Diceros bicornis minor: one gene and its partner. The protein of the gene in region 1 purifies or fractionates together with the protein of each later gene. This does not show direct contact. Links are inferred from orthologs where the notes say so. Each region holds a gene or a part of one and is shown in the gene's direction. Other genes may lie near its edges. The genes, in order: PER1 and CSNK1D.

Region 1 (11,950 bases):
CTTATCTTAGATCTGCTGAGTCCCCACACCCCACACATACTCTCTGCTCACTCACCTCCCCCAGACAGCTGGGAAGTGACACCTCTGGTGACAGCGCCCGTCCCCAGGCTTCTGCTGGGAGGAGGTGGGGTGCTGCCTGGGGGAGGTTATCACACCCAGAGGCCCTGGGAAGCCTGGGTGGAGGAGGGAAGAAGCTGGCTCCTGTTTGTCTCAGAGACCAAGGCCACGAGCCTCCCCTCCTCCCCTTCCAGGGATGCAGTGAGCACCCCCACTAGGCCTCCTCTAGACGCCTCCTTCTCCACTCGTGAGGCTTGCCTTGACCCACCCCACCGGATAGGCAGCTCACCTGGTCCCATTTTCTCCTCCCCTCCGTGCCAGGTCGGCTGAGAATGAGCGAGGGGGGTGTGTGCAGCTGCTGGGTCTGTTTCAAGGACCTAAAGAGAGACCAGTCAGGGCTGGAAAGGGCCATGGATAATCTCCTCCTACCATGTTCCAGATCAAGCCATTTAGCAAATATATATTTAGTGCCTACATATGTAATATATTTTGGGTCCAGAGACAAGACAGGAACTGTCCAAGGTCACACATATGAGGCTAATATGTGTGTAAAGTAGTACCATGTAACCTGGGCACTGCAGATGTCCCCTTGCCTACTGTCCTCGTTCTCCCTAAAGGGAAAAAAAATGCCCTGTCCTTTCCGCCCAGGCCCTGCATCTGGGATCAAAAACTGAGCCCTCCTCCTGCCGCGGGGGTAGGTGACCCAGCCCTGGGCCAGAGCTGTTTTGGCCAGTCTGCAGCCACCACGTGAAGCAGTCCCACGGGGCAGCCTCGTGCCCTCCTCCCCCTCCTCCCTGGGGTCCTAAACTTGCCCAGCCTCAGTGGGTCCTGGCCTGCAGTACCCCTGGTCTGAACTCCAGTTGTGAGGAGGGACAGCTTTCACATCTTTCACACACTGCAGTGACTTGGTTGGGGCGAGGCTGGGGGCGGAGGCGGGGGGTAGCCTGCCTCATCTCCTTTTCTTCATACCCCCCTCCTCGGCAGCCAGGGGCCCTAGACCTCCCTTGAGACCTCCGCCTGCAGGGTGATGGGTTGGGGACCTACTCCCACCACTCCATTCCACCTCGACAGCAGGGTCCCAGCTATCCACATTGCCCCGCGGACCTGATTTCCCATCCCCGTTCCAAGTGCTGAAGGCGGGTCACCAGGCACTGGGACCTGGGTGCAGGCCGAGACCTTGGGCGGTGTGGGGTGGGGACTGATGAGGGAGGACGTGGTTTGGGGGTGGGGGGCCGTAGGGGCAGAGGCGCGGGGGTGGCTGTGAGGTCTTTGGTCAGCCAGGGCGGGTTGGCGGCGGATGTGGGGAAGCCGCGGCAGTCAGCCTTGGGGCTCGCGGGGCGGGGACAGGTGCGGGGGACACCGCAGCTCCATGCACGCAGCCCCGCCGGGCGCGACCCCCTCCCCGCAGCGCCCCGCCCCGCCCCCGCGGCCCGGCTCCAGACGAGTCGCCGCCGCGCCCCGCCCCCGCCCGCAGTGCCCGGATGTGGGTGACGTGCGGCCGCCATCTTCCCGTCCCCGGCAGCCAGCGCCAGTCGGAGCCAGCGCGAGCCGCCGCCGCCGCCGCCATCGCTGCAGCTGCCAAGTCCTCCGCCCGCTGCCGCCGCCATGTGAGTCGGCCGCCCGCGCCCACACCGGGCTTGCCTGCGCCGGCCGCCCCCGTGGGTGCGGGCCCGGGGAGTGCCCGGGTTCGGCCCGCGCCCCCTGCGCTGCCCGCGCCCCGAGGCCAGGCCGGCGCCCGTGACTGCGCGCGGGCAGCCGGAGAGCCCCGCGTCCCGGGCTGGCCGCGCGGGCGGTGGTCGCAGGAGGGAGCGGACCCGGCGGCCGTCCGCCTCTGTCATCGCTGCCGCTAGTCATTTCGGGTCGACCCCCGACCGTGTCTGTGAGGTCGCTCTCATTTGACAAGCGGGGAAACTGAGGCCCGGAGTGGGGAGGAGGCCTCACTCAAGGTCACGCAGCTTGTCGGCGGCAGAGCCCGACGGAGTCCAGGGCGCCCATCGGGTGGCCTTCCTCCTGGGAAGGAGGAAGGGAGGGACGGTTGGATGGACAGATGGATGGACAGGCGGATGGGCGGAGCCCTGGCTACGGGGTTAGAGGCTCTAGGCCCTGGGTCTTAATGGGTTCCTGCCCCTCAGGTCGGCCACCGCTGCCACCGCCCCCCCTGCCGCCCCAGCTGGGGAGGGAGGCCCCCCTGCACCACCTCCAAACCTCACCAGTAACAGGAGACTGCAGCAGACCCAGGCTCAGGTGGATGAGGTGAGTATGGGGGGTGTCAAAGGCAGTGGGAAGGACCCTGAGGGCTGGCAAACCGGCGTGGGACCCATCTTGGGTCGAGGGTGATGGCAGTTCACGTTTATTGGTTTTGGGACAAAGACATACCATGCCCCATCCCTGTCAGCATGCACTTAGAAAGGCCCTGGGGTTAGTCAGCCTTGCTAGCCTGGGGTGTTTCAGCCTGAGCAAGTGTGCTCTGGTGATGGGCAGGCTGCTGGAGGCTTGATAAGTAGAGGGTGCTGCTATGACATTTTGAGATGTCTGGCTACCAGCATGCCCCTGATGTATGCCCCTTGCATGTCCCGAGGTGTGCTAGGCATGTTCTGTGTGTGTCCTTGGCATGTTAGCCTGGCAACATCGGGGTGCATGTTCCATATGTGGGCACACGGTCAAGAAGTGCCCTCGTTGAAGTGGGCCTTGGCACACCCTCTGCCTTGTGGGCCCCTCCCCCAGGTGGTGGACATCATGAGGGTGAACGTGGACAAGGTCCTGGAGCGGGACCAGAAGCTGTCAGAGCTGGACGATCGTGCAGACGCACTTCAGGCGGGGGCCTCCCAGTTTGAAACAAGTGCAGCCAAGCTCAAGCGCAAATACTGGTGGAAAAACCTCAAGGTAGGGGTGCAGGCAGGCGAGAGGGCAGATAGGACTGGTGGGTGAAGGGGGGTATCATGGTCTGTCTCACTCTCTCTTCTCGCCCCCAGATGATGATCATCTTGGGAGTGATTTGCGCCATCATCCTCATCATCATTATCGGTGAGTAGGGTGGGAGTGGCTAGGTCCCTTTCTCTGGAGAGGCTTCCCCCTGCAAATTCTGGGTTTTGAAGATCATTAACCTACTTTTTTACTATTCAGCAAAAAGCATATATAGCTGCCACGGCAGTTATGATTCACCTAGAGCCCAAAACCTTGATGTTGTTTAGCTTGTGCTTTGCCTGGTTCTGGGCAATTTCTGTTAAGATTTCTGGAAACAGGAAAGCAGGTGGATCCTCACTGTTCCCTTGAGGACCCTTTGGGCCTGAAAGCCCAGTCTGGGAACCCTGGAACTGGAGGGTGGGAGAGCAGGAAAGGCTTGAGTCATGGCTAGGAAGCCAACCACCTTGAGACCTTGTGGTCTCAGAGGCCCAGAGGATTAGGGGTCTGTGGCCCCAAGGCCATACCATGGAGTTGAAGAGACCTTGGAACTCACTTGTCCAGCCCCCTTGCTTTACAGATGGTGAACCTGAGACTGAGAGGGGAAGGGATGTCAGCCAGCTGGGAAGTGGGGAGGATGGGAGCAGGGCCAGGCCTGACACACTGCTTTCTCTCTCTCTCTCTTTCTCCCCTCTCCCTCTTCTTCCTTCTCTTTCCCTCTCTACAGTTTACTTCAGCTCTTAAACCCCTGAGGAGCCTGCCCTGCCCAGAGAAGGGCCTCTCCCCTCCATCCCCAGCCGCTCCTCCACCTCTCAGCCATATCTTCCAACCCCCCCTCCCCTGGATCCGTGTGTGTGTGTCCGTGTGTGTGCCCCCCCTGTAAATAGCCAGCTGTTATTTATACATATATAATATTATATATATTTGGTCTGTTTGTAGTTTTATTACTAGAAGATTTTTCCGGTTGTCCTTAACACCCCTTCCTGAAGTTCCCATCACCTCCTTTCTCTTTCCCTCCTTCCCTTTCCCTCTCTTCCTAACCAGCCCCAAGTCCCTTCATTTGCATCTGCTATGCAATAGTCCCTCTTCCTCTCCTCCTTCCCTTGGATTTAGCTGATCCTTCCTTCCACCCTGGCCTTCCCCGTACCCCCAGTCCCCTACAAAAAAAAAGCAAAAAGCAACTGTCCAGGCCTCCTTAGGTGCATCTTCTTTGCATCATTGGGAGGCTCTGAGGCTGGCCCCACTTGGTCCTAAGAATCCCAAGGTCTTCTGGGAGCTTGCAGCATGTTAATTAGCAATCATTTGCATACTGACATCCCTTTTGGTTTCCTCCTTTTTTTTTCCATCACTTTTCATTCTTTCAACCCGTGTTTCTTTTTTACTGAGGAGTTAGTCCCCATTTGTCCTTGTATCACACTTTCATTTGCATGATGTTACTTGCAGGTGGTGGGGAGCCTGGGCTTTTGGGGAGCCAGGCTGTTCTGGCCCCCAGAATTGCCCCCTCCTAGCCCCCCTAGTCCAGTTTGCCTCCCCTACTCCCATTTTCCAAACCTCTTGTCCCCTCCTCTCCCTCCCCCCAGCTGGTGTGTAAAATGTCTTGGAGTTCAGTGTGTTATGATGGACCATTAATTCTGCCACTTGGAGTCTCTCCCCACATTCCTGCTCCCCCATTTTCATGTGGGGTGCCCAACTGACATTCCCATGGGATCTCCCTCCCTCCCATCTGCCTGATCTGCCTCCTCCCCCTTCCACCAGGAGAGTTGGGGGTTGGCCACAATGTGATTTCTTTTGGGAGAGGTGGCTACCAGTGTGTGGGCGGTCATCACTGCCTTGGGGAGGAGTAGGGCAGGACAGAGAATCCCCCCAATTCCTGCCTGAAATCTCCTCTGGCCCCACCCCTGCTGGGGCTTGGACTAAAAACCCTCCTCCCCAATTTGGGGAGTGTTGCCCCCATCACTGCCCAGCTCCTCTGACTGCCCCCTTGAATTCAGGGTGGGGTACTAGTTACTGCCAATGTGTACATGGACTTGCTGGAAGATGGGGATTCTCACCCTTCTCTAGGGCGGTGAAACCCAAAGCTAGAGCTGTCCTCCTTAGGTGAAGTGATAGAGGAAGGGTCTAATATCTTTTTAAATGGCACAATTTTAGGGGTCTGAGAGTGCAGTCCCTTAACCTGCCACTGGAGGGGACCCACCCCCAACTCTTCCCCCCACACTCAAAGTTTCTGGGTGGAGGGGGAGCAGGGAGATCTAAGCTGTGGTATGAAAGGGTAGGGAGAGATGCTGGGGGTGGGGGTGCTGTGTTCTAGACCCCCCCATATTATCCCAGTGTCCCCTGCCCCCCCACCCCATGCCCCCAATTCTGTGGCACATCCAGATTGTGAAAATGTACAATAAATGTGTAATGAGTAACCAGGTGGTGTCTGTTCTAAGATCTTAACCAGTGGGAAGGGTATTGGATCTGCAGGTATAACAGGAAGGTTGAGAAGACACATTGGGAAGGGACTGAGCTTTGCCGGAGGGCCTGACCTTGGGTAGGGCAAAGTGTGATTCCCAGAGTGGCCACGGTGGGGCACCAGGAGTTGATAACAGGAAGTGTTCCTGATCCCTGCGTCTCACCTGAACCCTGAGGTCTGGGCTTCCCAACTCCCCCGCCCCTTTTCTTGCTTGGGAGGCATGCTTCTGCTGTTTGTTGAATTCCTTTCTACATTTTGATTTAACTCCCAGATGCTCAGCAGTCGCTCCCATGGTCATTTACTCCTGGGGCTGAAATAGATGGCTAACTTGTGCAAAACATTGCTTCCCTTTGGTGCCTAGCACAGTGCCAGCATCCAGAAGGCATTAATAAGTACTTAGTGAATGAATCAGTTCAAGAAGACCCAGCTGAGTGTGGTGTGGAGCTGGCCATGGATGGCCTGCTACCCCTGCACTCTGTGTTGTCCAACTGGTGACTCTAGACCGTCTGAACTCCCTTAGTCTCCATGATGCCCCTGATGTGGCACCTTAGCATTCCTGTCCCCAGGTGCTTCAGCAATATGTGGAGAGAGCCAGGTGAGCTGTGGAGGGCTGATTTCTGGCTGCAACATGAAGATTCAGCAGTATAAGAGACTTAGTGTTTCTCAAACTTGTGGGCTCTTAAGAACTACCAGGGATGCTTTCTAAAATAGATTGTCTAAGGGACCCAGGTGATTCTTATAATTAGGTACATAGTTATTATAATGTCTCACCGTTCATTGAGGGCTTATTATATTGCAGACAGTGCTCAGGGCTTTTTCACACTTCAAATACTGAATTGTTTCCAGGTTTAGGGTTCCCCTAGATCCTAGGACCCATCTTCTTTATAGTGTCAGGGACCTGGGTTCAAATCTTGACCCCATTACTGACTAGTGTTAATCCAGACAGATCATGTTACCTCTCTGGAGCTCAGTCTCATTTGTGAGTGAGCCGGTAGTAAGTGAGCTGGCCTCTGGGTTTGTAAGAAGCGCCTGGCCTGGTCCACAGAAATCAATCAAGAGACAGCTATCATCGTCGTCATCATCACGAGGCACTGACATATGGAGACCGCTTCACCCTAAGGTTCGAACCTTCCAGCTTCGAGGAACCTCGGGGACCCAGGGCCGGAGTCCTAGCGTGGGGAGCGCTCTTGTCACGGCCGAGACTGCTCGCCCAATCTCGGCACAAAGCGCCCCCACCAACGCCACCGCCGCTCATGTCTGCGCCTGCGTGCAGGTTACACATGCGCCTGCGCAGACTCTGCTGTCGGGTGACAATGTCGTCAAGGAAAATCCCCAGCTTCTAGGTAAACAAGTTGCCGCGTGAGACTGCCGGCACGTGTCCTCTACAGCTCCGGCACATCTCAGCCTATGAGAAAGTTTGGGGGCTGGACTGGAATTTGCGTCACCGATCTAGGCAGGTCGGGGAATTTTGCCACAGCCAATAGGAACTTCGGAAGTGGATGGGAGCGTGGCTTTCTGTCAGACTTCCAATCAACGCGCAGGGGCGGCCCCTCCCGCACGTGGAGCTGTCACTGCCGGTTGGCAAGCTGACCAATGAGAAAATGACGGCGGGCGGTGGTTGCCGAAGGTGCCGGTGCGGGGGCCGGGCGGCCGCACGCGGCGCGGGGCATGGGTCGGCGCCCTTAGGCCAATAAGCTTGAGGGGCGTGGCAGCCCGGCCGGTGGGTGGGCTCGGAGGAGCGAGTCCCGGTAGCTCTGGTCCTGGTTGCGAAGATATTGGACTCTGCGTGCGCGCCGAGCGGTGAGTGCTCGGGGTTGGGGGGAGACGAGCGGCGGTCGGTATGGGTGTTTCCCGGTTGGTGTGTTCTGTCAGGAGGGGTATTAATGGAGGGAGTGCCGGGGGGATCGTGCGAATGCGTGTTCGCCGCGATGAGAGCTCTGATGGTTGTGGGGAATAGGGACCGAGAACTCAGCTCTAGAGGGACGTGGGCGGGAGTCACTGATATCAGATCCCTCACCGCCCTAGGGCACCTGGACCCCTGACTGCCTGGGAGGAGGGGCTCGGAAGCCCTCAGCGACCTGAGGACCTGAGACCCCTGTTCCCTGGAGGTCCCAGGACGGAACCCCTGAGAGCTGGTGGGGAACGTTCCAGTGCGTGGCTGCTGTTTGAGTGGGTGCCTTAAGCACTTGAAAAGAGGCAGGAGTTCTGAGGCTGGAAGGAGGCCCTGGTAGGGCAGGTGGGAGAGTATCGAAGGGCTGACATGGTGATTTGAGAAAGGGTGGTGAGATGATTTGTATGACCCTGAGCCAGTCACATCATGGCTCTGGATGTCTTTCTCGTGTGTAAAGGGGAGAGGTTGGGCCTCAGAGCCATCCTTGGGTGTAAAGGTGGGGTAGAAACTGTTGAGTCCTGAGAGGGAGGATGGGGTTGTGCAGATTGGCTATGCACATGTCTTCCTGAGACCCTGAAGGTGAGGAGGCACCAACAGGGTGCTCTGGTATCTGTCTGTACAAACAACCAGGTCTGTGGTAAAGTGACCTGGGGTAAGGTGGAAGAGTGAGGACGTGGGGTCCCTAGGAAACCACTGGGGTGGTGGCTGCTAGGGTGATCTCAAGGACTTTGTGAGCATGTGAAGACTGGGGCTATGATGATTCAAAGTGTGTGGAGAATGCAAACTGAATGTCTGAGATTCAGCCCAAAGGAAAGGAGGGGTTGGATCGAAGCACCAAACTTAGTGCTGGGTATTTGATAGGCCCAGGTTCCCCAGTGCTATTTAACACCTCATAGGTTCCTGAGGGTAAGAAGCCAGAATGATAAGCCATTATCAGATGGCTCAGATTTGAACCCTGGGCCTCATTTGTTAAGAGCCTGAGAATATATTATGAGGCAATTTAGGCAAGTTTAGTAACTTCTGAGCCTTAGTTGGTCCTTGTGGAGTGGTGATAATAATACCCATCTTACAGGGTTGTTCTGGGAATTAAATAAGATAATGTATGTAAAGTGCTTAGCGAAATGCCTGGGTCCTGTTTTTAAATTTTTTTTAGCTAAAAAATAATGGCTTTAGGATGACAAAAGAACAGTGACAGGGTGAGAGATTTATGTGAATGCTGTGGTTGGGAACTATTCTCACATTCTCAAGTTTTTCTGGAAGTTTTGGTGTCTCCCTCCCCATTTCCCTCTTCCTGGTACTTCTTGTCTTCAGGCAGCAGCCCCAAATCGTCATTCCACTCTTGTATCCCTCTCCCAGGATCCAAGCCCCGGGCTGGGCCACTTGCTCTGTTCCGGTTCGATTTCCTCATCCTAGACCCATTCTGCTTCCCGCCCCTCCTCCGTGTCTCTGCTGCCATAATAACAAGAGATTCAGGCTCTGAAGGGGGCCTCTGGAAGGAGCAAAGGTGGTGTTCTCTCGCAGAACCTGGGCCTCCAACTTCCCCGCCCTGGCTCTTTGGGACTGAGCCAGCAGATGTGTACAGTTTGGGAGAGAAGGAAAGCCAGTGCCGGAAGCTGTAGAAACAAGCCCAGGGGAAGGCGGATGCGAGTCCTGAGAAGAGAGCCAGGCGTGGGGGCGGGCGCGGGGGACCCCTTCCTCCTAATCCTCTTTCCAGGAATCCCTGGCTTTGGGACAGGACGGCTGTCGTTGGTTTGGGGGAGGCGCCCAGGCTGGGTGCATGTCCTGGGCCACCAGCCAAGAGAACATGATGTTCCCAAGTGCGCTGGCCGCCGCCCTCTCGGGCTGGCCGCCTCCCAAACCGCTGCCTCTCCAGCCTCCCTGCTCCACATTCCCCGACTGCCTCGCCCCGCCCCCTTCCTCCACTTGGACGTCACTGCTATCTCCCGCCCCCCTCCTCCATTGACGGCAGCAGGGCCTGGTTACTGTGGGGACCGTGAGGCAGGACAACCAGGGCCTTGAGAGCAAGCGGGGGCTGCTGGAGCGCTGGACCCTTTTGTCCATGCAAAAGATAAAGGAGGGGGAGGCGGGAGAGCAAGGACTGCCTGTGTCAGGGGAGATCACACCTAAATCCATGACGCGAGTTGGGGAGGAAGAGAAACGATGTTTCCGGAGAAGAGGTGTCTGAAAATGAGGCAAGGGAGTGGGCCACAGTATATGAATTGGGGGGACATTTTCAAGGAGAGAAGGCTGAGAATCTAGGCTCCTGAATCCTTTGTTTCCTGTTTTCTTGCTTTGGTTTTTCTGGGTTATTTTGTAACATCCCTGTGTCCCAGCTTTTCCACAGTGCTCTCCTCTGCCCCCCACCCCCATGGGGAACACCGTTGTTAAGGAAAGCTTAGGCCACGTGACAGTGAGGGGCGTGCACCCACAGCTGACTTTGTCAGCAGCAGTTTGGGGGCCTCTGCACTTGCCACCCACGTTTCCAGGGAGCCCTGAGAGGAACTACTCACCATAGTCTTGGATGGAGCTGGAGCTCTCCCGGGCCCAGCCTGGCACTTTATTCCCCCAAATTAGGACTCAGTGTTCTGCTCCCCACCTCTTTTAAAAAATTATAATTTCCAGTCCCTTCTCCATTGCTGAGGCTGCTTCCCCTCCCCTACCTAGCTTTGTTAACAATAAAATCACGGAGTTTATTGATCACCTACCATGTGTCAGGTTCTGTCCTGGGGCCTGAGGAATACAGTGAAGGAGACAGATGAGGTTCTTGGCTTTCTCTTTTCCTAGAGGTGGGGATCTGAAGCCCTCGCCATCCCACCTTTCTCTGTCTAGAGTCCCATTTGGTCTCTTCTCTCAGCCACCCCCTTTGTTCCCCTGTAGCCCTGGCTTCCTGGCCCCTACTTTTGGGACAGCCCTAACTGTGGGTGGCTGCATCCTCAGGAGAGAAGAAGCACTAGTCACCACGTAGGCTGCCCAGAGACCTTTTCTCTGATTGGCCACAGAAGCACCTGCCATGGTTTCCCTTCACAGACCCTATTGGCTCTAGTTGCCCCTTCTATTGTTTGCATCCTCCCCCGCCAACTCCACCCCCCATCACACGTGGACCCTCAATTGCGCTCCTCCTAGCGGTCCACAGGATTTGAAGTGTCAGAGGAAGGGGTTGGGTAAAACGGCTTTATTATGATGACAAGGCTGGGGAGGAGCACCCAGGAAAGGCCAAGCCGGGTTTATGTCTGTCCCCCTCCTCCCAGGGACCAGCCATCTCATCCACCCTGGCTCACCTCCCAGGGTCTGCATTCCTTTTCCCCATCCCTGGCAAGGCCAAGGTGTCCTGTTCTGCAAGGCTGGTCAGTTCAGGAAGTAGACATGTCAGGCACCTACTGTGGCCCAGGCATTTTCCCCAAAGAGAGGCAGCTTACCTCCTCCTCCCTCCCTCCCATTATTCACTGTGCAAGGCGTCCTGCGCCCATTGGCTGGGCAGTGGGTGTCTGCGGCCCTTCAGCCCAGCGCCAGCACCCAGATCCACGTGCGCCCGTGTGTGTGACACAGCCCCGACCTCAGTGGGGGCCAGTAGCCAATCAGGCGCCGGAACGAGAGCCCCAGCCAATCGGGGGCGGGGCCTGTGGCTCCGCCGGCTGGAGGCCAATGAAGGGCAGTGCCTGGCATTATGCAACCCGCCTCCTGGCCCCGCGGAGCTTCCACTCGGCTGCGGGCTGCAACGGCGGCGGGCAGGCGGCCGAAGGGCGCTCGCGCGGCCAGGTAGGCATCTCCGCGGCCACCCGGGGGCCGGTCTCTGGTCCCGAGCCGGACCGCCGCCACTTCCAGCCTAATGGGCCGCTTTCGGCCCAGGCGCTCGGACGGCACACCAGTAAAATCCGCCTTCCTTGTCCCTGTCCATCCCCTCTCGGCCCCCGGGGACCTAGGTGTTTCTCGCAACCCTTCACCGAGTGTCCGCACTCTTGACCCGCTTACCTTACCTCCAGTTTTGCCCTCCGTTCCCAGCTGTCGCGACCCCACACCCGACCCTCAGCAGGCATGACCCCTACACCTTTCTTGTCACTTGGGGGTCCCATGTTTTGCCCCAGCACCAGGACCCCTTTAGGCTTTCCGCGCTCCCCGAGCTCCCCCCTCCAGTCCCTGGCCCCGCGCCGGCCGTGATGTCAGCCTGGTTCGGGCTGGAACATCCCGTTCCCGGCCCTAGTTCCTGCTGTTGGCCACAGCCTTCCCTTTTCTCCTGGCGCTCCGAAAATGCTCGGAGTGTTGGGGGTGTGGTTGGACGGGGAGTAGGGGAAGAACAATCCGCTGGCTGTTGTGCGGCCCTTGCTCAGAGCTGAGTGGGTCTGCTTCGCATGGGGGTGGGGTGGGGGGTGTCTAGAGAAGGAGAGGATTGAGGGGAGAGGATTCCTGGGTCCCTGACAATGGCAGGTGCCGGCTTTGGTCCTGGGGATCGGGAGAGGGTGCAGGAGCCGGAGAAGGAAAGTGTGTCGTCTCGACCAGAATGACTGGGATCCAGGCGAGCGCCAGGCTGGGGGTCTTTTGCTCGGAGGGCGGTGGCGGTGGTGTTTTGCCCTGGGGAGCAAGGCCAGCCCCTGGAACCCCGATGGGCCGCCGCTCTTCATACGGTCATCGGGCCCTCCGGGGACTGGGGA
Region 2 (11,437 bases), about 51 Mb from region 1:
ATGAGGTCTAAGCCTCTTGTCTTTCTCCTTGTGCTCTGCATCTTCTCCCATCTTCCCTCTGATATAAGGTGTTCCTTCCACCTGGACATCGAGGCTACTCATTGATCTCATTGATGACTGTCCTTTCCTTCAATTCACCAGCTGACATTTTTCTAGCTCAGACGCCAGGGATCTCAGCTGCAGGGAGTCCTCTCTGCACTGTGTGTGTCCCTGTCCCCTTCGGTTTTCTGTGTGGGAGGTGCTGTTCACTATTTCTCCTCTGGCAGCTCTTCCTCTCTGACTCCTGGGCTAACTGTCGCCCCCTTTCTTTGTCAGTTTGTTGGTTCTGGGTCTTGTGGTGGAGGAGCCAGAGTGTCTGTGGTCCCCCTGGGGAGGACGACAAAGCCATCATCCTGCCCTCAGGCTAGCGGCTGCCCTGGGTGCCCAAGCCAGCACCTTCCCAGCAAGCGCCCCTGTCGTCTCCACATGTGGCCCACTGTCTTGACATGAGTACAGCCATGTTTGGCCGCTCTATTGACCTACAGCCACCAGCACAAAAAGAAATATAAAAGCTGCTTTCTGTGTGGTGGAAACTGGCCTTTTCCCGGGAACTGGCCTTTCTCCCACGGAGGGAGTTGCAAGTTGTAACAGTTCAAGGCTCTTGGAGCGTCGTAGCACGGGATGGACCGTGCCAGGCTAAGACGATAACCAAGGAGAACAATGCACGTACACAACTACTGGGCTGGGACGTTAGCCAGGGGGCTCAGGGCACGTACGCCACTGATAACTGTTTTGTGCATGGGAACACTAGATGCTTGCTCTGTAAACTCTGTAACTGCTTATATAAACTGCTAGAAGCTGAGACCTGGTGAGAGTTCCACCTGTGGAAGGGACGCCTTGCCCAGGATGTGTGATCCTTGCCCAGCCGTGTCGATTGACAGGACTCTCCCGGCAGTGGGGCGCGGATGTTGTGAGTAATTGATTTACTGTGAAGTAACTGATTTGATGTGTTCTCTTTTCGGTCAACCTGGTGTTTCTCTTTCCGGTTGATTTGTGTCATTTCCCTTCAGTCGATCTGGTGTTTCCCTTTCCGATCGATCTGATGTTTTTCCCTCTTATTATATGACCTATTCGGGGCTGGCCCCGTGGCTTAGCAGTTAAGTGCGCGCACTCCGCCGCTGGCGGCCTGGGTTCGGATCCTGGGCGCGCACCGACGCACCGCTTCTCTGGCCATGCTGAGGCCGCGTCCCACATACAGCAACTAGAAGGATGTGCAGCTATGACATACAACTGTCTACTGGGGCTTTGGGGGGAAAAATAAATAAATAAAATTAAATTAAAAAAAAATTATATGACCTATTCGGATCTGCTGCTATCTCAGCCGATGTGGATGTTTTCCCTTTCCAGTCGAGCTGGTGTTTTTTCCCTCTTATTATTTGACCTATTCGGATCTGTTTGCGGACTATCGCCTTTATTATCCTCTATATAATAAAATATACCTTCAGTCCATTTGTTTGGAGTGGAAAGTGTCTTTTACATCTCCCATCGAATCCCCGAACCTCTCATAACACCCACGCACAAGTCTAGGTTACAGAGTCAAGATACAAACAAACAACAAGAACCAGGCAGCCAGCACAGTACCGTTGCAGCTGTCTGGAGCTCTTGCACCCCAGGTGTGGAAAGCAAGAAAGATTCGAGGCATCAGAGTCATGCGGGCTGCCAAGGGGCAGGGCAGGAGAGAGCCGGTGCTCACGGGAAGGGAGGGCAACCTTCCAGGAGGAAGGATCCCAAGTTACCTCCTGCCAAACCTTTTAGGATAGAGAGTTGTCTATACTAGGCTCTCCACTCCCTCTTCCCTCCCCCTTTTTTTTTTGGTCCGTGGATTTTTTAAAAATTGTGGTAAAATATGCACAACATACAATTTACCATTTTAACCATTAAGTGTACAGTTCAGTGGCATTAACCACATTCACATTGTTGTGCAGCCATCACCACTATCCATCTCCAGAACTCTTTCATCTTCCCAAACTGACACTCTGTCTGCCTTAAACAACAACTCCCCCATCTCCCTCTCCCTCCCCCTGGTAACTTCTACTTGACCTTCTGTCTCTGTGAATGTAACTCCTCTAGGTTCCTCATATAAGTGGAATCATACAGGATTTGTCCTTTAGTGTCTGGCTTCTTTCGCTTAGCATAATGTCCTCAAGGTTCAACCATATTTAGCATGTATCAGAATTTCCTTCCCTTTTTAAGACTGAATAATATTCTATTGTGTGTGCAGACCACATTTTGTTTATCCATTCACCTGTCCAGGGACACTTGGGTTGTTTCCAGCTTCTGGCTATCTCATTTTCTCTCAAACTTCTCTTTTTGCTGTCTTTTGTTAAAATCATGCGGAATATTTCAAATTGCAGCTGCCTGGAAAATCTAGAAATTTTAACAGGACAGCCTCTCTGGGCCTCAGTTTCTGCATCTCACAATGATAATATGGAAAGGAACAACACAGGTCAGCATTCCTACGGTTTGTTGATGCCCAGCAGGAGCAGAATGAGGAGACTTGCGTGGAAGCCAGGTGAGGAGGGCAGCAGCGGGGGTGACCTTCTCTCCATGGTCTGAGCCTGGGCACAAATCCCCTCTTCAGTGACTCTGGGCTGCCAGAGTCCAGAGTCTGGCTCTGGCCAAGGGGAAGTGAAGCAAAAGGTAGTCATGATTTGTGCAAATGACCCTGTCCCCTCCCTGCCCCACCCCCACCCGCCCCCATTAATTGGCTCCAAGGTGCCAGCCTTGGGCTTGCCAGTGACCTGTGACCTGGGGCAGAAAAAAACTGGCCAACCAGGACCAGCCAGTTACTTTCTCTCACAAAGCTGAATGGAGGCACGGTAGGGAGCTCAAGGGGCAGAAACTACTAGAAGCCAAGGCATGTCAGTCAAGAGGAGGAAGAATTGAGCCAAGCAGCTGGGAGGTGCAGGGCCACCATGAGAGACAGCAGCGAGGACCCCAGAGTAGCTCTCATCCCATGTCTAATCCCAGGTCAGGTGTCCTTCCAAGACACACACACACACACACACACACACACACACACACACACACGCCTCTTGTTTCTGGAGACTAGAGTGTGTATCTGCCCCCCGCCCCTAAAGGGTCTGACGAGAACCCTTGGCGTGAGGCCAGGATGGGAGAAGGGAGATGTGTGCTCTCAGGGTACAGGAAAACATGAACTTCTGCAGCTGATGCCAGCCTTGGCTGGACCTCGGAGAGCAGTGCGACACACCAGTGAATGAGAGCACAGCCCTCCATTCATTCACTGGGCGTGGGGGGCATAGCTGTACGGTAGAGGCTTCCTTTGGGGGGGCGATTAAAATGTAAACCTGTGGCGATGGTTGCACACCTCTATGAATATACTAAAAACCATTGAATTGTAGTCTAAACAGGTGGATTGTGTGGTATGTGAACTGTATCTCGGTAAAGCTGCTCACACATGCGCACAGACACACACAGGGCAAGCATGGAAAATCCTCCACACCCCAGGACAGGCCGTTCTCAGTCTGCTTCCCTGGGCTCCGCTTCCACGGAGGACAGAGGACAGACTGGGAGTCCACTCCCCTCCCACACCTCCTCGCCTGCCCAGGAGGTCACAGGGAATTTGGGTTATAAGGAAGGGGACAAAGTATTTGGAAGTGCTTTAAGACCAGGTGCCGGGGCAGCCCTGGTGGCGCAGCAGTTAAGAGCGTGCGCTCCGCTTCGGTGGGCCGGGGTTCGCAGGTTCGGATCCTGGGGGATCACTGACGCACCGTGTGTCAAGCCATGCTGTGCCAGCGTGCCATATAAAGTAGAGGAAGATGGGCACGGATGTTAGCCCAGGGCCAGTCTTCCTCAGCAAAAAAAGGAGGAGTGGCAATGGATGTTAGCTCAGGGCTAATCTTCCTCACAAAAACAAAACAAAACAAAACGAAAAAAACCCCAGAGGCCGCCTGGAGTGGGAATGGCCTGCAGACACACAGGACCCGGGCAGAAGCTCAGCAGGGACATGTGTGGGTCTGCACGGGCAGACCAGGGAGTCCAAAGGCCAGGAGAGGGACGGGCCCAAAAGACCTCCAGCCCCCACCCCCAGCCTTTTGGGTGAGACTTTCCTCCTACTGCAGTTTTGGATTGAAACAAGAAGACCCCAGGCAGGGCAGAGGGGCCCCCTGCTTAGTCAGGAACACACCTGGGGAATCTTGGGCGTGAGTGAGTTTTGAGGGCATGGCACAGGCCAGTGACCTTGCCGGCAGCATGAGGCTGGGAGCGGTCAATGAAATCCAGCTGGGGGCCAGGTCCAGGGAGGCCACCCCAACAGTGAAGGCGGGGTTTCCACCTCGCAGTTCTGTTTGGGGATGGCCTAGCCTAGGAGCTGGGAGTTCATCCACGTGAGTCATTCATGAAGCCAGCATTTACTGAGTGCCTGCTATGTCCCAGGCCGTTCCCAACAAGAACAGGGGCATGTGCGAAAGCCTCCTGCACCTGCCGGCCTTCTCCTGTGTAACTCCTGGTCCTCAGGCAACGCTCCAATGGACAGTCTGGGGCACTGACTTCCGTCCTTCTCAAGGTCACACAGTGAATGGCAGAGTAGGATGAGAGAGCAGCCGTGAGCACAGAGAGGATTCCCATCTGGAAGAGTGTAGAGGCCGGAAGTGGGGAACCAGCTGTCCTAGCACAGCCTCTGCAAGCCCTGGCCCCGCAAGCGTGCTTCACAAATGGGAAACTGAGGCACACACAAGGATACTGTAGCCACTGGGGCAGGCTACCTGCAGCAAAGTGCTGGGATAACAGGGCCTGGAACCCTGGCACAGGCCCCTGGTGAGGCCCCTCAAAGATGGTGGCTCTGCCCCTGCGCAGGCCTCTTCTGGCTGCTTTCCATCACAGCCGTGGACTGAAACACAGGCAAGGACTTTGGTCCTGCTGTTGGCCGGCTGTCCTGACCAACTCCGAGAACAAACAGGTGAAGCAGGTAGAACCACAGGGCCTACGGGGCAGCCCAAACAGCTACAGCTTCTTTTTTGAGAGGACACCAAGGCCCAGGAGGGGACCACTGGCCAGCGATCAGCCCAGGGCAGCTGAGCGAGTGGCCTGTCCAGTATTTCCAGGGAGCAGGGGCCAGGCCCCCTTCTGTTTCCAGTTTGCACTCGTGGCTTTCTCTGGCCGGGGAACTGGGCATTGTTCATCAGCAAATTCTGCCAAAAAGGCTCTTTTCACTGGTTTGGCAAAATCCCCCCAACCTCATAAGACTGAGAAACTAGGCTGACCACTGCACGTGGACATGGGGTGTTCCCAGTTGCCCACCACTCACTAGCGACTGATCCTGGCTTGCCTTGTGGCCTCTCTTTCTGTCTCCAGGCACTCCTTGCAATGCTCAGGAGTCTCCCCAACCTGAGCTCCAACGATTTTCCGGCATGGGCTGCACTACCGAGACTGAATGGAGGAGAGGGAGGACTCCGGAGTGGAGAGACCAGCCTGCCAAGCGCCATGGGAGGGCACTCACTCTGCTGTATTAACAGCCGGTTTTATGGTGCTTCCTTTTTAGCCGGGGTGGGGGATAGGCCTAGAGAAGCATTGACATGAAAGTCATTCCTTCTTGGTTTCCGTGCCTCTCTGGAGGACTCCCTTCCCAGTGACTGGAATCAACAGTCCAGATCATGAAGCTGGCGGTCAGCCGGAACATCAACATTCTTGTTTTATTTTGCAAGGAAGAATATTCAGACTCAACACAGGTTAGATAAAAACGTTGATTCAGTCTCCAGACCGATGGGACTGGAGAGGCAGGCAGTCTGGCCTCATCCTTTGAAACCCTGGTAGCTTCCCCTTCACCCTTCAGGTGTGACAGCTGGCTGAGCTGCAAGCCCGGGACTTGGCACAGCAGGATGGGAAGGGAACTGCACAGTAGACGTCCCCGGCCAGCCCCCGACCACCTCAAGAGGCGTGCACACCTGTGTCCGCTGTGGCCCGACCTGTGTCTCTGTCTCCAGACGCTGGGCCAGGAAGGGCGGCCTCCTCCTGGAGAGTCTCAAGGGCGCGGGTCCCCGGGGTCTAGAGGGACGGGCTCGGCCCCTCTCGTTCTCCTGCAAAAAGCACTGCCTGGCGGCCTGTCCCAGGCCTGTTGCTAAGAGCCACTGGCTTCCTCCTGCGGGGTCAAACGAGTTCCCCGCGTGAGCACGTGGAGCCTGCATGCGGGAGGGGGTCGGGCGGGGGGCTCTCGGCACGGTGCTGCGGTGCGGGAACAGGCGACAAACAGAGAAGGGAGCCGCCTGGGGTGTCCAAGGGCCGCGGAAACTCCGGGGCGCCCTCGCCCCCCTGCCCCGCCCCGCCCCTCGCGCAGCGCGGCCCCTCCCCCCGAGCTGCGCGGCCCCGCCCCTCCAGGTTGCTAGGGGAAGTGACGTCACAGCGCGATGGCGGCGGCTCCTTTAGGCTGCTGAAGGGGGAGTTAGGCCCGGGAGATCCGAGTCCATCCGCGGCGGGGAGAGGGCAAGGGGGGTCGCAGGGGCCTGGAGCAGGGGCGGCGGCGCTCGGACTGTTCTCTCCGCCCCGTATTGAGGCGCTGGGAGCGACGGGGCGGCCGGAAAGCGATGGTGAAAGCGGGGCCGTGAGGGGGGCGGAGCCGGCAGCCAGACCCGCAGTAGCGGCAGCTGCGGCGCCGCCTCCCCGCGCTTAGACCCAGGAAGCGGCCGGGAGAGTAGGAGCGAGCCGGGGCCGCCGCCGCCATGGAGCTCAGGGTCGGGAACAGGTACCGGTTGGGCCGCAAGATCGGCAGCGGCTCCTTCGGAGACATCTATCTCGGTGAGGCACTTCCCCCGGGCCTGGCCGAACCGAATCGGGTCCCCTCCGCCCGCGCCCCGGGGACCCCCGGCCGGCCCCGAGGCACTGGCCCCAGCGCGCCGGGCCCGGGGGTGGCGGTGTCCCCGCAGACCGACGAAGGCCGTCGGGCGTCGCGTGGCCCCGCGTCCTGGCACGTGCGGGCAGGTGGGCGCGGGGAGCCCCGGCTGGGCCCTGTGCAGCCGCGCGCTCGGGCCGGACCGTGGGCTCCGGACGGTAGGACGGGCGCGGGGTCGGCCGTGTCAGTGGTGAGTGGTGGCTAGGGACGTGTTGGGCATCCGTGCTCTGTCTTGGGCACCTGCGCCCGGACAGCCCTGAGAGTCAGGTGCGGTGACGGAGTCGTGTGAGGATGCTGGCGGAATTAGAGGCAAGGGAGGTAGGAAGCCCTGCTCGTGAGCCTGCCCTTTTGGCTTTGAAAATTCTCAAGGTAGAGTTGAAAAACACATTTGGGATTAGAATGTTCTGGATTGTTTCGGATTTACAGTGGAAGAATACGCGCACACACGTGTGTAATAAAAGGTTGGCTGGAATCTTAAAGTTGGGAATGTTAAAACAACTTTTCTGCATTTCTCAGAGGAATTATGTGTAAGTTACTGCACACCCCCTGGATTTGGGAACGTCCAACCTGGCACACGGTGTGTGTTCAGAAAGACTGAAAGACTGTCGTTGCGCAAGTTTGGGGTCAGCGTGTTGTGTTGTTGCGCAGCCACGCCCTGTTGTTTCTGTTTGGACGGTGTACCTGTCCGGGAGGGTCAGGAATAGCTTCCTGTGTCGGTAATGCCTCTGGTTATGCCTTTCAGACGATCCCAAGTGTGTGTGCCCACCGCCCTATCCTTCCTTCTTGGCCGGAGAAGACGCAGGACTTCGGGGGCTGTTAAGAGGAGTCGACGTGTTTGGGTAGTTCATAACTGCCTCTGGTGCCTAGATACCCTGACACCGTTACTGCCATATTGATGCCTTTGAACCTATACTTCTGCCTTACTGTCCTGCTGAGTAAAATACACTTTGGAAGCATTTGGAATTTAGTATTTAAATATTTATGTCCAGTAGTCAGCCAGCTGCATTCTCAGCAGCGTTTTGGGAGGCAAAGTGCTAGGTAAATGCAAGCTGTTTGCCTTATTTATAGAATAATAGGTTTTGGCAAAAGCTTTAACCTAGGAGCTGTACTGAAAGGCCATTCCATGAGCCACTCTTATGCAAGCATCAAAAAGTAGATGTGAAACTTTCTGTCCTTGCCAGACAGCTCTGTGCTTTCTAAAGCTGGGTTCAGACAATCAAATTGTGAAACGGTTGTCACCGAGTCATTCACAAAGGTGTAAGCTCTTCTCATCGGGACTGGGAGCTTTGTGGGGGACCCTGTCTGCTTATTCACTACTGCATCCTTTGGACCTCACCTGGTGCTGGGCACACGGGTAGCACTGGATACATATCAGGCTGACTGGTCCCAGAGGAGTCTGTCCTCAGTCTCCTGCTTCATGTGTGTTCTAAGATGGGTGGACTGTGGTTCTTGAGCCCTTGTTCTGAGTACCCACACAGCTCACGCATCAGGGTAAACTTAGAGTTACTTGTGTGGGATTGGGCACAACCCATTTTTTTCAATCAGTGTTGGCTCTTGGCCCACATGGCAGCCCTTTCAGGCTACGCACGACCCCACTGAGAAAATGTGAAATGATCTTGTTAGCTTGAGTAAGATGTGGCTAGAAAGGTGGGTCTGAGGAAGCTCACCACATACTGTCGTTAAAGATCAAAGATGACTGGTCCAAAGATGATGGGATGGATTGAGTCACCTGTACCATAGCTTTTTCTATTTGTTTAGGCAACTAATCAGGCATTAGTTAAGGAACTGAGTCCTGATCTTGAAAATTGGTATGTCTTAGGTATTTTGTGTGATTACAATTAAAATCATTCCTGCTACCATCCTTTTGCTACTGGTCAGAAGGCTCTTGACTCCTCCAGGTAGGGTCACCTTGTTTTGAGCCTGGTGTTTGGGGTCTTGGATTTCTGCCTGGAAGTTTCTGTGCTTTCACACGTTTGAAACTGGGAGTAGGGAAGGCTGTTCTTCAGCTTGCCAAGCGCCTTGTGGACCAAGAAGGCCCAGTATTGGTCTGTCTTTCTGGTGGCCTACTGTGCTGACGTGGTCACGTGGCACTGTGCCCTGCCAGTTATTCCAGTCCTTCCCAAAATTGCCCCTTCAAAGGGGGGCAGGATCTTGGGGCTATTTTCTCCAGTGCCCAGGCTTCAGAAAGTCTGTGGACTGGACTTGAGCCAGGTAGACCCCAAAACGTGCAGCCTCGATCCTCAGTCTGCCTCCCTCTCAGCTTGCCAGATCCAGAGAAGGCTGCTGGGAAGGCCTCAGAGCTCACACACCCTGGGCAGCACACAATTGGGCAGAATGTCACTGCACTTGGTATTGCAGGTGGTATAAGGTGAACCCCGCCCGGCCGTTTGCCTCCCTCAGCTTTAGCTTCCACGGGGTTGTGCCCCCTCGCTGCTGGAGGTGGTGTGTTTTTGAGGCAGTGGAAACCAGAAGTCCTTTTACTTTGCTGGCAGTATATCTCTGATATATGTGAAAACAAAGGGAGAGCCAGTGTTCTTAATGTGGACCATGTGTTCCAAACTCCAGTATGGCCCTTGGAGCTGAGGGGAGAAGAGTGTGTGCGGGTGGCCAGCTGGAGCCCAGGCTGTGTGGTGGTGCTGGCCGGCGCAGTTGCTGTTCTGTTCAGCCAGTGTTTGGGGAGTGCTTGCGAGGCGCCAAGTGCCGGAGGGGTGGCATGAGCCCCCTGTTCTCATGGAGCTCTGTTCTCGTCCATGTTTGTCTTCTAGAGACAGGCAGCAGGGTCCTCAGACCCCCCTCCCATTCTTGATTCACGGAACAGAGGTTTTCTTTCTGTCAGCTGTTGGCATTTGTGTTTGATCCTCTTGCTCCGTCAGTTTATCACAGTGTGACCTGATCCATCCACCTGTTACCTGGACGGATTTCATGATGTACACAAAGACCTTTTGGAAGCTAAAGCTTAGTTACCTCTTCATATTTGATTTTCGTATTTTCCCCTTGCTGACTTTCATTTTTTGTCAGCGGCACCTAGCAAGGTGCCTGGCATGCAGTAGGAATTCCAAAATGGTGGCTGGCTGGCTGGCCAGGAGAGGAGCCTGTCCTCGCTGCGTGTGTTCTTAGGGTGGTGGCTTGAGCGTTTTTAGTGAGAAGTCATGGTACTGTGTCAGCTGCCTTGTCAACAGCTGCCCTGTGAGAGGGACCTTTGCCTTCTTGTTCTGAGGCCTCTCCCTATTTCTTCATCGATAAGACAGTCCTCAGTGGGAGTTACCTTCCTGTCCCAGGTCAGGGGCAAACTCGGGATGAGGTTCTCTTAATTGACCATCTGCCTTTGTCTGCTCAACTTGAGGGATGTAATTTTGTTTTCCTAGGACCAGCATGGACCTATGTCTGAACATAGATGAACATCTTGCCTAGTGTGGGGACCTTATCTGACTGGGGCTGTTAAGCTGCACAGAAGAGTTGAGGTTGTTGGGAGGTAAAACCCCTCAGTATAGACAGACACTGTGAGTGAACATGTACATGCCACTTGATTTTGACTTGTTCTGAATCTGGAGCTCAGTGGTATCTTCTAAATTCTTGTTCCTCATCTAGAAGTTCGTATTTCTAAAAGCTGCCTGTGCTGAAGGACCAGATTTTGTAATATCCAGTCTGTTGCAGACCAGTGCTTTTGTAAAATAAGATTAAAATGTTGCAGCATGTCACATTGCTATCAGAGCTCCTCGGTGCTTCCTCACTGTCCTGTATTTGTCTCTTCATCGACTGGTGGCAGTTTGAGGCCTAGACTTGGAGCAGCACCACCAGTGGAGCAGGGGGGCCGTGGTCAGCCTGGAGCAGGGGCAAGGCTGCAGGGCTGCGGGCTCATGGACCTCAGTTTTGCTTGGTGGCCTCTGAAGTTTGGTTCCCATGGAATGCACAGAACTTGAAGCTCTGCTGCTTGGTACTTTTTTTTTTTTTTTTTTGGAAGATTGGCCCTGAGCTAACATCCATTGCCAATCTTCCTCTTTTTTTCCGTTTTTTTCTCTGCAAAGCCCCAGTTCATAGTTGTATATCCTAGTTGTACGTTCTTCTAGTTCTTCTATGTGGAACGCCACCTCAGCATGGCTTGATGAGTGGTGTGCAGGTCCGCAGCCCAAGATCCAAACTGGCGAACCCCGGGCCGCCAAAGCAGAGCGTGTGAACTTAACTGCTATGCAATCAGGCTGGCCACTGCTGCTTGGTACTTCTACCCAGTGGGCTCCCAGAAGAGGCAGCCTGGAGTGTGTGCTACTCTCAACATCTGTTTGGTAGAGAGCCCACATCCAGGCTCTCCTCTTTGAGTCATCAGACTTGGGGCAATCTTCACATCTGTAATCCTGCAGAGGGCTGGCTCTTCGCTTGTGTGATCCTGTGGGAGGACTGGAACATTGATAGGAAGATGGAATTCATATTGTGTTCCAAAGTTGGCTGTGGTCATTTGTCCCCAAGGCTGTCGGTATTGCTGGAGTGAATGTCAGACATTAGCTTTATCAGCCACAGTAGAGTAGAGCCAGAAATGTTCTCCACCTTCTGGAAGGTGCT

Evidence for each region.
Region 2: the proteins of PER1 (region 1) and CSNK1D purify together in Homo sapiens (affinity purification with mass spectrometry; 4 studies listed by BioGRID and IntAct, counting the BioPlex papers as one, with this or other methods). This does not show direct contact. The link is inferred for Diceros bicornis minor from reciprocal best matches to the Homo sapiens genes PER1 and CSNK1D.

Annotation. Positions count from the first base shown.
Region 1 is NC_080757.1:10,251,592-10,263,541, forward strand, and holds the start of PER1 (period circadian protein homolog 1), read left to right. Parts: upstream 1-7,143; 5' UTR 7,144-7,213; intron 7,214-8,139; exon of another isoform or gene 8,140-11,060; intron 11,061-11,950. Other genes in the region: VAMP2 (vesicle-associated membrane protein 2), read left to right, coding at 2,602-2,940, 3,030-3,081, 3,686-3,702. UniProt on the Homo sapiens protein: Transcriptional repressor which forms a core component of the circadian clock.
Region 2 is NC_080757.1:61,655,375-61,666,811, reverse strand, and holds the start of CSNK1D (casein kinase I), read left to right. Parts: upstream 1-6,425; 5' UTR 6,426-6,713; coding exon 6,714-6,789; intron 6,790-7,625; exon of another isoform or gene 7,626-7,722; intron 7,723-11,437. UniProt on the Homo sapiens protein: Essential serine/threonine-protein kinase that regulates diverse cellular growth and survival processes including Wnt signaling, DNA repair and circadian rhythms. It can phosphorylate a large number of proteins.